Arabidopsis thaliana: one gene and its partners. The protein of the gene in region 1 interacts with the protein of each later gene in a pairwise test. Each region holds a gene or a part of one and is shown in the gene's direction. Other genes may lie near its edges.

The links.
Region 2: the proteins of AT1G22550 (region 1) and TMT2 interact in a protein complementation assay, tested with the Arabidopsis thaliana proteins (one large-scale study listed by BioGRID).
Region 3: the proteins of AT1G22550 (region 1) and AT1G08230 interact in a protein complementation assay, tested with the Arabidopsis thaliana proteins (one large-scale study listed by BioGRID).

The regions. Positions count from the first base shown.
Region 1 is NC_003070.9:7,965,960-7,970,778, reverse strand, and holds AT1G22550 (Major facilitator superfamily protein), read left to right. Parts: upstream 1-2,086; 5' UTR 2,087-2,226; coding exon 2,227-2,350; intron 2,351-2,439; coding exon 2,440-2,657; intron 2,658-2,740; coding exon 2,741-3,285; intron 3,286-3,363; coding exon 3,364-4,171; 3' UTR 4,172-4,279; downstream 4,280-4,819. Other genes in the region: AT1G22540 (Major facilitator superfamily protein), read right to left, coding at 4,557-4,819.
Region 2 is NC_003075.7:16,795,279-16,801,727, reverse strand, and holds TMT2 (tonoplast monosaccharide transporter2), read left to right. Parts: upstream 1-1,916; 5' UTR 1,917-2,656; coding exon 2,657-2,735; intron 2,736-2,883; coding exon 2,884-3,450; intron 3,451-3,532; coding exon 3,533-4,473; intron 4,474-4,569; coding exon 4,570-4,757; intron 4,758-4,851; coding exon 4,852-5,296; 3' UTR 5,297-5,504; coding exon of another isoform or gene 5,505-5,714; 3' UTR 5,715-5,780; coding exon of another isoform or gene 5,781-5,855; 3' UTR 5,856-5,945; downstream 5,946-6,449. Other genes in the region: AT4G35295 (homoserine kinase, putative / HSK), read right to left, coding at 5,505-5,714, 5,781-5,855, 6,345-6,395. UniProt on the Arabidopsis thaliana protein: Sugar proton-coupled antiporter which contributes to vacuolar sugar import (e.g. monosaccharides including glucose, sucrose and fructose), particularly during stress responses (e.g. in response to cold).
Region 3 is NC_003070.9:2,583,076-2,588,632, reverse strand, and holds AT1G08230 (Transmembrane amino acid transporter family protein), read left to right. Parts: upstream 1-1,663; 5' UTR 1,664-1,932; coding exon 1,933-2,020; exon of another isoform or gene 2,021-2,113; coding exon 2,114-2,344; exon of another isoform or gene 2,345-3,548; coding exon 3,549-3,833; intron 3,834-3,922; coding exon 3,923-4,053; intron 4,054-4,190; coding exon 4,191-4,430; intron 4,431-4,537; coding exon 4,538-4,918; 3' UTR 4,919-4,989; downstream 4,990-5,557. Other genes in the region: AT1G08220 (ATPase complex subunit), read left to right, coding at 5,345-5,509. UniProt on the Arabidopsis thaliana protein: High affinity gamma-aminobutyric acid (GABA) transporter probably involved in GABA uptake into cells.

The DNA.
Region 1 (4,819 bases):
ACCAGTACTCGCCAACTCCACCATCCCGCAAGCTTCATGCATTTCCTTGAAAGGTTTAAAGTAAGACTCACATCTCTTCGGGCCACCAATCTTTTCCTCATTATGCAGAATTTCATTGAAATCACCCACCATACACCATCTTTCTCTCCTTCCAACTCCAATTATGCTTAGTCTTTCCCAAACAATCTTTCTTTTTTTAAAGTCGGGGTCACCATACACACAAGACAGAAAAAAGTTCACCGCACCAAACTGCACTTGAAGATCAATCAAATTCTTATCAGCAAACTTGATATCGATCTTAACACTTTCCTTCCAAAAGATAGCTAAACCACCACACCTTCCAACAGGCTCTATAGAATACACTCTATCATAACCTAAAAATGTATGCAAATCAACAAGAACATCTCTACTATTCATAGTCTCCATCAGAAACAACATCTCAGGGAAATACTTTTTACGCAATTCCTTAAGACGAGGGAAAGCCAAGTCTTGAGACCGTCCCAAGCCTTGACAATTCCAGCTGATAATGCTCATTGCGCGGTGGGCAATCCCCCCTTTGGGATCACCTCTAAGGGATTGAGTTTTGTGGATTTTGCAGTGCTAGTTCCCTCATCAACTGCCTTTCGTTTCTCTTTAGCACCATGACTGAGACCTTTCTTCAACTCTTGTGATGCAGCAAGACCTGAAGCCGGTAAAGGATTAGCTTTCCTCTGATTCTTAGTTGGCCTTTTTCTTGCCTTTGCTTTCTTAGGCTTAATTCCGGATAAGCTAGGTTCAAAGAACCCAGCTTTAAAAACCGCCGAATTATCCTGAAAAGGCTGAGACAAAGCAAGAAAATTGGCATCCACATCAAAGGCATTAGGGCCAGCCTGATTTAAATTCCACGAATGTGAAGAACTTGAAGTCCCACCCTCTTCACGCAGATTGGGCTGAGCTAATACTTTTCCAACATTCCTCAAGTTAATCCCTTCATCAGCATAGCTAAAGAAAACTCCTTTGTCTTTAGACAAGTCCAGATGAACCACAGGGGCTGGTTCATGACTCAGCATTGACTTTCTCAGAACTGGATCCTTCTCTACTTCTCCAACAGACTTTTTCACCTTGTTAATCCTCAGCAGCTTCTCAGTTTCATCAGAGACCAAAAGATATTGTCTCATCCCTTCTAAAACATCTGCAGCGATTCTCGGTCTGCCCGTCAACTTGTCAATCCCAACTTGATCCTCTCTTAAAACCCCAAACAAAGGGTCTGATTCTTTCAAAACAGGGGGTTTCTTAGGTCTCTCCACTGGTTTACCAGAGCGTCTTGCCAAAGCAGCATCTTGTCTTGCTTTTATGAGGACAGGGCAAACATCTCTCTCATGAGTCAAACGTTGACACTCATAGCATCTCTTTTGAACCCGCTCATACTGAAAACGCACTTCTAGTTTATACTTAAACAATAATACGTCAAAATAAAATTTTCAATTTTTAGTTTCCCTTAAGTTTATTCATAAAAGTGTTTATACTTATTATACATGTAATGTGACGTTTTTAACTGAATAACAGTTAAAGGGTCTTACGACGGTTAGTTAAATTATAAACAATTTTAAGTTATACACTATTTAATTACTTTCTCGACTCATAGTACTTTCTTTATTATACAGGAATTGTGGTATATAATGCAACTAATTTTAACAAAAATAAAATAAAATCATGATAGCACAAAATAGTAATCTAAAATCATTATCTGAATTAACACGATTTAAAAAGGATTATTACACTAAGAATTAATAACAAACAATTACTAAAAAAAAAACTTTTAGCTTATTTAAAAGATGAAAATTAGCTTGTATGGATCGTGTCATTTAAATTTAGTAGCTAATAAACCCTAATAGTTGACTTTTGATTTCTGTAAGATAAAATAACGAAAACAGTGATATATAGACATGAAACCGCATGTTTATTGGTTGTTAGTTGTAACTTTAGATTATGTAATCATATTAGAGGATTAAAATATAGCTCGTGAATCACGTCCATTTAAAATTATGATAGCAGCTGTACAAATCATAAAAATAATACAGCTCCTCATAATCAATCACTCATCTGACTAGACTATATAAAAAGAATATATACATATCACAATCTATTTATCGTGTTCATTATTCACGCAGCAAATATAGCTTTAATATCAAAACTAAATATAAATAAATACATATAGCTTAAAATCCAGTTTCCTCCGACAAGAAAATGGCGATAGCCGAAGAAGAAGCTGCACTTATAGAAGATTCCGTCAGCGACTCCGTTGACCACCGTGGACTTCCTGCCGGAAAATCTTCCACCGGCGGATGGAGATCCGCCTGGTACATTATAGGTAAAGAACAGTTTTTGTGATTTGTAAATTGTCTCATAAACCATTATTTTTTAAACATTTTATTTTATTTTTTTGGTGTGGTTTTTTAGGTGTGGAAGTTGGAGAAAGATTTGCTTACTTTGGGATTGGTTCCAACTTAATTACTTACCTCACCGGACCTCTCGGACAATCAACAGCCACCGCCGCCGTGAACGTGAACACATGGTCAGGAACCGCCTCGATACTTCCTGTTTTAGGAGCTTTCATTGCAGATGCTTATCTTGGTCGTTACCGTACCATTGTTGTTGCTTCCCTCATCTACATACTTGTAATAACGTTCTTGTCTCTTACTTCAATATCTTGATAACATTTTAGAATTTTCACTAAAATTTGAGGGGATTTTTGTTACAGGGACTAGGACTATTGACCTTATCCTCTATCTTAATCCTAATGGGATTATCGGAGCAACGTCAACATAACCGCAACGCTTCTGCTAAACCGTTTTTTTGGGTGAATATATTATTCTTTTGTTCTCTGTATTTGGTGGCGATCGGACAAGGCGGACACAAGCCATGTGTTCAAGCTTTTGGTGCTGACCAGTTTGATGTGGGAGATCCAAAGGAGAGAATAAGTAGAGGATCGTTTTTCAATTGGTGGTTCTTGAGTTTATCCGCGGGAATAACTTTGTCGATTATTGTGGTGGTTTACGTTCAAGACAATGTTAATTGGGCTCTTGGGTTTGGTATCCCTTGTTTGTTCATGGTCATGGCTCTTGCTCTCTTCTTGTTTGGAAGAAAAACTTATAGATATCCAAGAGGAGATCGCGAGGGGAAGAATAACGCTTTTGCGAGGATCGGTAGAGTTTTCTTGGTGGCGTTCAAGAATCGGAAACTGAAGTTAACACATTCAGGTCAGTTGGAAGTTGGTTCGTACAAGAAATGTAAAGGACAACTTGAGTAAGTTCACAAGTCTTGAATCTTTTGAGTTTTGGTTTATTGTGACTTGAGTATAAAGTTTTCTTTATTTTTACTAAGGTTCCTAGCAAAAGCGTTGCTACCAGGAGAAGGAGGTGTAGAGCCATGTAGTAGTAGGGACGTGGAAGACGCGATGGCTTTGGTTAGGCTTATTCCGATATGGATCACATCAGTAGTGAGCACGATTCCTTACGCTCAATATGCTACTTTCTTCACAAAACAAGGCGTTACGGTGGACAGAAAAATCTTGCCGGGTTTCGAGATCCCTCCGGCTTCTTTTCAAGCACTCATCGGTTTATCGATTTTCATCTCAGTTCCAACTTATGAGCGTGTTTTCCTTCCGTTAGCTAGATTGATTACCAAAAAGCCTTCAGGGATCACAATGCTACAAAGAATAGGAGCTGGAATGGTGCTCTCCAGCTTAAATATGGTGGTTGCAGCGTTAGTAGAAATGAAACGGCTCGAGACGGCTAAAGAACATGGGCTTGTGGATAGACCGGACGCAACCATCCCAATGTCCATATGGTGGTTCGTTCCTCAGTATTTACTACTTGGGATGATCGATGTATTCTCACTAGTGGGGACACAAGAATTCTTCTACGACCAGGTCCCCACGGAGCTAAGGAGTATTGGTCTTGCACTTTCTTTGAGTGCGATGGGTCTTGCGAGCTTCTTGAGCGGTTTTCTAATCACTGTGATTAATTGGGCTACCGGGAAAAATGGCGGCGATAGCTGGTTCAATACTAACCTGAACAGAGCCCATGTCGATTATTTTTACTGGTTGCTTGCTGCTTTCACTGCCATTGGGTTCTTGGCGTTTTTGTTATTATCCAGGCTGTATGTGTATCGCCGTGTAGATCAAGTCTAAGAAAAAAAAAGTCAACGTGTATCTACTTTCATATCATATTTGGTTATTCATAACGTGGTTAGAAACTCTTTAACCTATTTTTTATTCAACAATTTTAGTTTATTAAGATGAAATCTCTGGAAGTTAGCTTGGAACACAGCTGGATAATATACACGATAAGGAAAAGACTATACACCAAACATGAAAAAATATACATTTACTGGTGTTGAGCCATGTAATGGTAGGGACGTGAAAGATGCGATGGATTTGGCAAAAGAGCCACATGATCAACACGATATACCAGACATGAAAAGTATACATTTGCACAGTAATGATTTGTGTATTCAAAAATTACACAAGAGAGGGAAAGAGAGTACCTGCGATATTTAAACGAGAGATTTTGGGTTTAACTGGTGTCGAGCCTTTTAGAGACGTAAGACTTTGCAACATACAAGTAGGAGGCTAAGCCAATGAAGCTGAGACAAGCGAGTAACCAGTAAAAGTAATCGAGATGAGCTTGGTTCAGGTTGTTTGCGAACCAACTCGCTTGACCAGATTGGCTTGTCGCTTTCTCAATGATTGATATCATGAAACTGCTGAGAAAGTTACCAATACCGAATATGCTCAAGTACAGAGCCAACCCCACACTCCTCAGCTCATTCGGGACTT
Region 2 (6,449 bases), on another chromosome or scaffold:
GTTTATCGTTTAAATTGTAATTGAAAAAAAAAACTAAAATTAGAATGTTGGTTTGTACAAAATCAAAATGCATTTCTGGTTTTACTAGTTACCGTTAATTGTAAAAAAATTTAAGTATTAAGCACGATGGTTTTATTCTCGTCGTATGAGAAGACTAATTTAAATACATGTGATCTACTTGTAAAAGAAGCAACCGTTCATTCAATCTCCTATCAGAAAGAATAGTAATCTCTTGAGATTTTTTCTTAAGATAAAGATATGCCAAATATTTAAACAGTATTATGGCGTCACTGACTATTATGACGTAAGAGATTGACTTTTCCATATATTGCAACTTTCTGGAGCCCCGCACATAATCCCTAATAAGTTTTACTTTTGGGCCTTGTTTATTCACTGATCCAGCCCAATGTTCAAATACAAAATTCAGACACCCCAAAGGCCGTATTATTGTATTGTTTTAGACTTTAGACCTTACAATAAGGCCTAAAATGATAACATATTACACATTTCAATTCCAGATAAAAAAAAGAACCGAAAATTTTAATTATAAACGCTATCAAATTGACATTTTCACAAGACTGAATCAAATTTGACACCTCCACGTACACAAGCAAAATTATATTTTGGGTTTTGTATCAATGTGCTGGCTGATTTTTTTTAGCAAAACTGTCCTGTAACATCTCTCCAACTTGGTTTGAATTCGTTTTAACATTAGTTTGGTGACAAACATAACGTTATTGAATTTTTCATTTTTCCGTAATAATCATTCTGATTTTTTTCTTTTCAAAATGTTGTTACTAGATGTTTCTTTCCCAAGAATAATATCTTAAATCAGTAATCACTACTACCAGTAAACATAAATGGTACGTTTCTCCTCATTCTACGGAATTTTTAAGAAGCAATGATGATGATTAATTGAGGATGTGGACAAGAATCTTTATATATTCGCATTCACATGCCATAACTTTCAAAGTCTATGAAAAAAGATTCTATTGCGTGTTTATATTCTGTGGTGTGTACTGTAGTTCCAAACATAACGCTTGTACTACGTTCATTTCCGGAAAATATCTAAGAAATATGGAGTCATAAATATTTATTAACCAATTAGATGTTTTTCCTATGTTCTAAATACATTTATGGTAATCTTTGCGGTCAAATATACGAACTTTAACAACGACGTTTAACAATATATCTTTTGTTTTATACATATCAAGTTTTGATATACGGACGATAGATATTTATTTTCAGAAAACCAGTAGTTGTCGTAGTCACATGGTTTGTTTTTCGTTGATCAAAATTTGTTAATGTTATTCATTTAGAATTAGAGACTGTATATCGAATTTGGTACTCGGTTCTAAAAAAAAAAAAAACTCAATATGATTTTTTATACATTCTTTTTCTTCCCTTTTAATCTGTAAGAAGAATAGTAAAGTGAAGAAGAAAAAACTATTCATTATATTGTAACATACGAATACGACTCACAATTAACTAAAGTTAAAGTGTCTCATTGTATTTGGACTTTGGACATTATTCTCCATTATTGCATTGTTTCTTTCTTTCTTGATTAATTATGTAAAGTTGAAATGATTTGAAGATGCTTTCCGGATGTAAACAAACTAAACTTTACTTTACCAATAACTTTGTTTTCAGAAAACTCAGATATTTATCTCTAGTTTCTCGTATAAGTCCCAATGAATCTAAGATTTCAAAAACCAATCCTATATTTGTTTCATATTTACAAAAAAACACCAAATATTTTTCCCCAATTATGCCGACATTAAACTCATCTTTTTACATACAAAATCCCAAATTAATATCCGTTTTTACCTTTACTTCATGAAAGCGAAGATGGTAAAAAGCAGAAACATTTCGAGATATTAATTTGATTGTATAGGCCCGTGAATAAACTCGTGGACCCAAATCGAAAAGATAACAAAATTTAAAGATGTACTTAATTCTCTGAAAAAATTCTGTACGCAAACACGAGAAAGAGAAGAGAGACATACACACACAATACACATACGTGGTTTGAGAGGACAGGAGCAAAACGGCAGGTGTCACTAATCCCATAGGCTTCTCTCTCTGTTCACTGTCCTTCCGCACAAAAAAAAAAAGTATTCATTTTTATATTCTCACGGTTACTTCGAAATCTAGCTTTCGTTTTCTTTTTTTTTGATTTAAACCAAAAGGGTAAACAATGCTTTATGATTGCTTAGTGACGCCATTGAAGCAGCGGCTCACTGATAGTGGCTTCTTCTGCCTCCAATTCCAAGTTGCTAACCCTAGTTTTCATCTCTCTCTCTGTATATCATATTCTCTCGTACTTTCTTACTTTCTCTTCTACTTGGTAGAGATAAAAAGTAGTCAAATTTTATTCAAAGTTTTGATTTTGACATCTGAGGTTTCACCTCTGTTTTTTTTTTCTAGAACTCCTTTGGGTATGTGTCTTTTACGTCACTAAAGGGTTTGTTATAGTCTTAGGTCATGCTTTTTGGTGTTATCTCTCTCTGTTTTATCTTTTAGCTCACCAAGTGATTGTGTCTGATTTTCGAATTTTCAGGTGGATTTTGTTTCACTCACTCATCGTCGTTGATCAGTGACTCTGTTTTTGCGAAATTCTCTTCAGATTTCTTGATAAAAGATAGAAGACGGAATTATGAGTGGAGCTGTGCTTGTTGCTATTGCTGCTGCTGTTGGCAACTTGTTACAAGGATGGGATAACGCAACTATTGCAGGTGATTGATTATCTTCTGTATCCATAATTCTGTTTATGAAATTTAGGATCGATAAAGTCAGGATTTTTATGGATACAATTCACAGATCTTTTAGCTTATCTCTTTTGCTTGTGTGATGGATTTTAAGTTTTCTTTGGGTACTCTGCAGGAGCTGTGTTGTACATAAAAAAGGAGTTTAATTTGGAGAGTAATCCATCAGTGGAAGGTCTAATTGTGGCGATGTCACTTATTGGTGCTACTCTGATTACAACATGCTCTGGAGGGGTAGCTGATTGGCTTGGTCGCCGTCCCATGCTAATATTGTCCTCAATTCTCTACTTTGTTGGTTCTCTAGTAATGCTATGGTCTCCGAATGTTTATGTGTTGCTCTTAGGAAGGTTGTTAGATGGATTTGGGGTTGGTCTTGTGGTCACACTTGTTCCTATTTATATATCTGAGACTGCACCACCTGAGATTAGGGGACTGTTGAATACGCTACCGCAGTTCACTGGCTCTGGAGGGATGTTCTTATCTTACTGTATGGTTTTCGGAATGTCGTTGATGCCATCACCTAGCTGGAGATTGATGCTTGGTGTCCTTTTCATCCCTTCCCTTGTCTTTTTCTTCCTCACGGTCTTCTTCTTGCCCGAGTCCCCAAGGTGGCTCGTGAGCAAAGGTCGAATGCTTGAAGCAAAGCGGGTTCTTCAGAGACTGCGTGGTCGCGAAGATGTGTCTGGTTAGTCTTAAATCGTTCTGACTCTAATTCTTTCAATGAAACCAATCTTTTCTATTGAATGTTCTTATGTGGCAATGTATAGGTGAGATGGCTTTGTTGGTTGAGGGTCTTGGAATTGGAGGTGAAACAACCATAGAGGAATATATAATTGGTCCCGCGGATGAAGTTACTGATGATCATGATATAGCTGTGGATAAGGATCAAATTAAGTTATATGGTGCAGAAGAAGGGCTGAGTTGGGTTGCTAGGCCAGTCAAAGGAGGAAGCACTATGAGTGTTTTGTCTCGCCATGGAAGTACAATGAGCAGGAGGCAAGGCTCATTGATTGATCCTCTTGTCACACTGTTTGGGAGCGTTCACGAGAAGATGCCGGACACTGGAAGCATGAGGAGTGCCTTGTTCCCACATTTTGGGAGTATGTTCAGTGTTGGAGGGAATCAACCAAGACATGAAGATTGGGATGAAGAGAATCTTGTTGGAGAAGGTGAGGATTATCCATCCGACCATGGAGATGATTCTGAAGATGATCTTCATTCTCCGTTGATCTCACGTCAAACGACAAGCATGGAGAAAGACATGCCTCACACTGCTCATGGAACTCTTTCTACCTTCAGACATGGAAGTCAAGTGCAGGGAGCTCAAGGGGAAGGAGCGGGTAGTATGGGGATTGGAGGTGGATGGCAAGTGGCATGGAAATGGACGGAAAGAGAAGATGAATCGGGACAGAAAGAAGGTGGGTTTAAACGGATATACTTGCATCAAGAAGGTTTCCCAGGATCTCGACGTGGCTCAATTGTTTCATTGCCTGGTGGTGATGGAACCGGTGAGGCAGATTTTGTACAAGCGTCTGCTTTGGTTAGCCAACCAGCTCTTTATTCCAAAGACCTTCTCAAAGAACATACAATTGGTCCTGCTATGGTACATCCATCCGAAACAACTAAAGGGTCAATTTGGCATGATCTTCATGATCCTGGAGTCAAGCGTGCATTAGTCGTAGGAGTTGGACTTCAAATACTTCAGCAGGTAGTCTAGATAGCCACATCAAAATTAGTGAATCACAGAAGAAATAATGCGGTTTATGCTAATTCTATGTTTTCCTGCTTCCTCTTGGAAATGCAGTTCTCAGGCATCAACGGAGTTCTTTACTACACACCGCAAATCCTTGAGCAGGCGGGTGTCGGGATCCTACTATCGAACATGGGGATTAGTTCTTCCTCAGCATCCTTACTTATAAGTGCATTGACAACCTTTGTGATGTTACCTGCAATAGCTGTTGCAATGAGGCTCATGGATCTTTCTGGTCGAAGGTGATTAAAACTTAAATTTCCTTTGTTCTTACAATACACATAAACGAAACAAGCTAAAATGCGTTATGAAATGTCTTTTATTTTATATTTGCAGGACCTTGCTTCTCACCACGATACCAATCCTGATAGCATCTCTATTGGTTTTAGTAATCTCAAATCTTGTTCACATGAACAGCATTGTGCACGCGGTCTTATCAACCGTAAGCGTTGTGCTCTACTTCTGCTTCTTCGTGATGGGTTTCGGTCCTGCTCCAAACATCCTCTGTTCAGAGATTTTTCCAACTCGAGTCCGCGGAATCTGCATCGCCATCTGCGCACTCACCTTCTGGATCTGTGACATAATCGTCACTTACAGTCTCCCCGTGCTGCTCAAATCCATTGGACTAGCTGGTGTGTTTGGAATGTACGCAATCGTATGTTGCATTTCATGGGTCTTTGTGTTCATTAAAGTCCCGGAAACTAAAGGCATGCCACTTGAAGTCATCACAGAGTTCTTTTCTGTTGGAGCTAGACAAGCTGAAGCTGCTAAAAACGAGTGAGAAACTGAAAGACTTGTTGAGATAAAAAGTTTGTGTAATATTCATGTGGATTTGTTGTTGTCTTTTTACTTTGTGCAGTAATAATCATCTCTCTCTGTTTCGTCTTCTTCATGTGGGGAGAAAAAAAAGTTTCAAACTTTCAGTTACGAATCTCTTTATTACCATTTACCATTTGCAGAATCCATAGAACAAATCCGTAAACTTTCAATTACATACTTTCGATAAGTCTAGCTCCGACTTTATCAAGTTTCTTCACAGAAGCAGTAGATTTCAAGTTTCCGATCTTCAAGAACACTTGGACCATTTTCTCTCCGATCTCGTAACCTTTCTCCGCCGTGTCAATCACTGCAACCGCAGTTATGGTGCGACCAAATGCTCCAGCTTCTTTCCCATTCAAAGCAGAAAGTGATTTATTCACCTATAATTCTTGAGCAATTCAGCGTCTTTCCTCGCTTCTTCTCCTTTCATTGCTCAAACTCTAAACCTTGTAGCCTCGAGCTCTGTGATTTGTAGCCTCGAGCTCTGTTTCTGCAATCACACAAGCTGCTCTATGGTTTGGCTACAATCAGTCGCTACACGTTTCAAAGCTAATGCCAAATATATCATCCATTGTTTTCTTGCGAATCTTGGCTAATGAGGGCACGTGCGAGACTCTCATTGCTCTAAGCTTTTTAAGTGGAAAAAGGAAACAATCCAAAATTTGTTTTAGAAAAGGAAATAACAAAGAAAAAGGAAACAACAAAGAGCCGTTAAGAAAAAAGGAAACTTTGAATCCCAAACACAAACGATGTGTCTATAAATTGAGGAACCCTTCTCAGAGATAGAAAATTCTTAAGTGAGAGAGAGAGAGATGAAATTACATACGCAATTGCTCTGATTTTCACCATTCTCTTCTTCGATTCCTGTTTCCTTCGCTTCTAATTCAACTCTGATTCTTCTTCTTCCTCCTTTGTCTCTCGTTAATGGCGTTACGATATCTTCTCTCAGTCTCCGTCGTCGGAAGTTTTCTACTTTTGTTTGAATTCAAAGGATTCCGGATTTTGTTTACCCTGTCTTCAATGCAATGGTTCATCGGAAGATTTTGCGTTTTCTGGTTCATGATTCATCGGATGATCGGAGGCTTTTGGGTTTATCCGGTTCATGATTCATCGGA
Region 3 (5,557 bases), 5.4 Mb from region 1:
TTCAAATTTTCAGAAAAGATTGTTAAAAAATATAAATGCGTCTGCCGGGAGTCGAACCCGGGTCTATTGCTTGGAAGGCAATTATCCTAACCGTTGGACTACAGACGCTTTTGCATATCGAGCAAATAAACTATATATACATATAAACTTTGGATGTTGAGGTTAAAGTGAGAAAGATTTTAAAATACATATATATAGATATAATCTATATATATATTTTTGCATCCATTTTGTGAAATAAATCCTGGAGTTGAAACTTATTTACAATGGCTGTCACTGGCTTTTAATTATTAGTTTTTTCAGCAATAAATTGATTAACAAACGAAAAACATTCCAAATATATTTCAATCCCATATATCACGCAGATTTTTCCAAAATTTGAACTAGATTTCAGCAACTATTTAAAACAAAAAATGTTTGACAACCCAAAAGACAATTGCAATCCCTTAAAATGAGCAAACGCAACTAAATACATTTCTTATCAATTCACTAAATCTTATTTCTCCAAAATTTGAACTAGATTTCGACAACTATTTAAAACAAAATTTTGTTTGACAAACTAAAACACAATCGCAATCCATAAAATATTTATTTTAATTATAAATTTCAACTAGCGGGGTACCGCGGTTTTTTTTTACAGGACGGGTTTGGCAGAACGGGTTTGGAAGGACGTTACTTAATAACAATTGTAAACTATAAAATAAAAATATTTTATAGATAGAGATAATTTGCAAAATTTTATATATACTAGTTTAAATAAAAAAAATTATCTCCGCGGTGTACCGCGGGTTAAAATCTAGTCTATATATACATTTTTGCAACTATTTTGTGAAATAAATCTTGTAGTTGAGAATTATTTACAATGATTGCCACTGGATTTTAATATTTGTTTTTGATAATTAGAAAAAAAATCTTCGAATTAAATATTTGACATTTAATAAATTTTTTTAAAATCTCTTTACATTAACTACACGATTGGTTACTAAAATAAAACTTTCAAAATATTTAATATCATTTAATTACTACAAAATTATCATTATTGATATTGTTTTTCTTCATGACTATTACAATTCAATTATAATCATCAAACCGCAGAGATATTTGATAACATTTAATTACTACAAAATTACAAAATATTTAGACAATGATTCATAAACATATGATAAAGAAGATCAACATTAATAAAATAAATGAGCTTTTTTTACGGGATGGGTTGGCGGGACGAGTTTGGCAGGACGAGTTTGGCAGGACGAGTTTGGCAGGACGAGTTTGGCAGGACGTTACTTAATAACAATTCTAAACTATAAAATAAAAATATTTTATAGATAGTTACATAGATTGTTACAAATTACAAACTTTTATATATACTAATTTTAAAATATAAATTGTCCCTACGGTATATCGCGGGTGAAAATCTAGTATTATTATTATTAACCGAAAGAAATTTCTTTCAATTTTAAAAATTCTGTCAGTTATAATGAAAATGTAAAACTGTAATAAGGATTTAATATACATATTAACATGTTATATTGATATGTTATTACTATTATCCAATTTGCTTTTTCTATTACTGTTTGTTGGATGTATTGAAAATTTAAGATTGTCTCCAAAATCGATTATTTTGAAATTATATATAAAAAATAAGATTTAAGAGATTTGTTTCCAAAATATTTTGAATTCTCCATTTATTTTCATATTCTATCATATATTTTTTAAAGAAAATAATCAAGATATACACATTTTATAACTTCATAAATCGTTTGACACAGAAGAGAATCGATAAACTATAAATCTGCAATGTTTAATATTATTACGAAATGCTTTTAGGTAAAAGATGATATGATAGCAAGTGTGTTTTTTGGACTTATAAAAGTGAGTAGCACCTAGTGGGGGGAGAGAGAGAGAAAGAGAAACAAAGAGAGCGATAAAGAGATGGGTGGAGAAGAGAGATCAGGAGATGGAGAAAAAAGAGGGGAAGAAGTAGTTGATGCTGGTTCTCTCTTCGTCCTTAAATCCAAAGGTACGTTTTATTAATTATGAAATCTATGAAACTTAACGTATACTATTATAACCCATTTGAAGAAGATATGATGATGATGATGATGGAAACTAGGGACATGGTGGCACTGCGGATTCCACTTGACGACGTCTATAGTGGCGCCTGCGCTACTGAGTCTACCGTACGCCTTCAAGTTCTTAGGATGGGCTGCCGGGATATCTTGTCTGGTCGGAGGAGCAGCCGTTACTTTCTACTCGTACACTCTTCTTTCTCTTACTCTCGAACACCACGCTTCTCTCGGCAACCGTTACCTCCGCTTCCGTGACATGGCTCATCACATCCTCAGTAATTCTTTTTCTTTTTACATTTGCTCTTTCCTATAATCAAAGCTGCGACAAATTTACCTTAAGAGAATTTCATTCAAGATTGAGATGTATAGTTGTACGTAGACATACGTGTCTATATGAACTTCTATACGTAATAATTGACACACGGCCGGTACCACTCCAATAATTTCATCCACGCAATAAAGGAAGGTACATGTCCTACGTAATAATTTGTTTGAACAAAAAAAAAAGTTAATTTTTGTGTGAAAACGCGAGATGGAATACTTATAATCACGTTTGCTATTACGAACAACGGAATTTTATAAGAAACCAAGTAAACATTGGTATGAGCTCAACTTTTGTTCGTGGTTGGTTAATATCACAATATATGTATTGTGTAAACCTATGATTTTTAAAAAAATACTTTTCTATACTGTTTGGTCTTGTTTCGAATTATAAGAAGAAAAAAAACTAATCATATGGAATTCATATTATAGTGAATTTTTTGATATGGCTTGCTTCGGTTCAATTTTGTTGGGATCCGGATCGAAGTGTTGACCATTCCACATTTCCACTCATACCACTGTTAAGTTTCAACTTTTTCATGCGTTAGATAGCTGTCTCTTTCCGTGTCTTGTTTCATTTTTGATGCAGAAATTTGTCTTTCAAAACTAATTTCAATTTTTAAAAATATGTGCGTGTCAGAAGAGTATTCATAAAACGTTGGTGCCGACCAAAATTTAATCTTATATAAGTAAAGTTGGATAGGTTCGATCTGCTTTCAAAAGTAGAATATTCTAAATTTCAGATCCTACATAGGATTCGATCCAAATTAGGATAGTTACGCTTTGACTGTCGACTACCAAGGAAATCCACATGTCAACAAAACTTTTAAGACAAAATTTAACGTATTTATCTATGCAAAAACTACAAAATGATGAGAAAAAATTGATTGAAATTTTTTATCTTACTGGATAATTCTGTTTTAGTAGCTAATATGAAACTAAATCCATTATGCATCGAATCATCGATTTGGATTTTAGTTTTCATTAGAGTACACCGCTAATCTGAAGGATTTATAGGAATTCGATTTAGCCCACTTTTTCGGGACTGTATACAACTTTAATTAGGATAAGGTAAAGTATAATACAGGTTCCGAATGTTTGATTAGTTAAGATCAGTTTGGTTTTCCTCTTAACAATTATTGGGGTGTGTTTGATAAGGTCCGAAATGGGGAAGGTACTACGTTGGACCAATACAAATGGCGGTGTGCTATGGTGTGGTTATTGCCAATGCGCTCTTGGGAGGGCAATGCCTAAAGGCAATGTACTTGGTAGTGCAGCCAAATGGGGAAATGAAACTCTTTGAGTTTGTGATTATTTTTGGATGCTTACTTTTGGTTTTGGCACAATTCCCATCCTTTCACTCTCTACGATACATCAACTCACTGTCTCTCCTCCTCTGCCTCCTCTACAGTGCTTCTGCCGCTGCTGCATCCATCTACATTGGTACTCTTCTTTACTAAACCACTTTACTCTTAATTCTTAAACCTTTTATATTGTTACATTTAAAAGGTGAGTTTTCTGTTAAATATCAGGAAAAGAACCAAATGCACCAGAGAAGGACTATACTATAGTTGGTGATCCAGAAACTAGAGTGTTTGGAATCTTTAATGCTATGGCTATTATTGCTACTACATACGGCAATGGCATTATACCTGAAATTCAGGTTTCATTTTGTTTCCATTCTTTGTTTAGAACACCACTTTAATATTTATTCATCAAAAACAAAAGGGCAGTCACATGATCGACTCAGTTATATATATAGAGTATTTGATATATGAATACTATCTTCTTGCAACGCAGGCAACAATATCGGCACCAGTGAAAGGAAAAATGATGAAAGGGTTGTGTATGTGTTACCTTGTAGTAATAATGACATTTTTCACAGTAGCCATCACAGGATATTGGGCATTCGGTAAAAAAGCCAATGGACTTATCTTCACCAATTTCTTAAATGCCGAGACAAACCATTACTTTGTCCCTACTTGGTTTATTTTTCTCGTCAATCTCTTCACTGTCCTTCAACTTTCGGCCGTTGCTGTGGTAAATACAATTTTTTTTTAACGTTTTTCTTTCACATATATACATTGTTATTATTTTATTTTATTTTCGTCACATATATACATTGTTACTAATTTTGAGTTATGCAGGTATACCTACAACCTATAAACGATATTTTGGAAAGTGTGATCAGCGATCCAACAAAGAAAGAATTCTCTATCCGCAATGTCATCCCTCGACTAGTTGTGCGTTCCCTCTTCGTCGTGATGGCTACAATCGTTGCGGCAATGCTTCCATTTTTTGGAGATGTAAACTCCTTGTTAGGCGCTTTCGGTTTTATACCTCTAGACTTCGTTCTTCCTGTAGTTTTCTTCAACTTTACTTTCAAGCCGTCTAAAAAAAGTTTCATTTTTTGGATCAACACTGTGATCGCCGTGGTTTTTTCGTGTTTAGGGGTGATTGCTATGGTAGCGGCGGTTAGACAGATTATAATAGATGCCAATACGTATAAGTTGTTTGCGGATGTATAAAAGAACATGCAAAGCAAAGTGAGATTGTTATTTCTATATTTAAGAATAAGCCTTTTTTTTTCTTAGAAAAATGTTTATGATTATAAATTTGGAAAATAATATTCAAATTTTGATAACAATATTTTTACATAATTTAAATTAATTAATTTTGAATGAAATAAATACAGATGAAATAAATATCTAGAAAATTGATAAATCACAGTACAGGCCTGGAATATGAGCATTTGAAACCCAACGCAAAACAATTCCTAGAAACGGAAGCCCAAAAGTTGGGGGCTATAATTAAACCGGATTTAAAAAATCGGTTTGATTGGTTACCCACACAAAAATCTGGTTCAGGATTTTAGACTCGTTTTCAATTTCAAGCGTGTTTGGTTCGCCGGCAGAGAGACATAACCAAACAAATAGGGTTTAAGCTCTACTAAAATGGCGACGACGTTGAATCGAATCCTGAAGCATAGATCAGTCTCTGCTCTCAACAAGCATCATCAAGGACTCTTCTCCCTCACTCGATACGAGAATCATGACTCTCTCCCTTCTCAAATGCCAGCTCTTCGATCAACCACCCGTTCTTTCCTCGATTTTTATAAGGTAGGAAATTCTGAGAAATTATCAATTTCGCTTATCGGAGAAACGTTG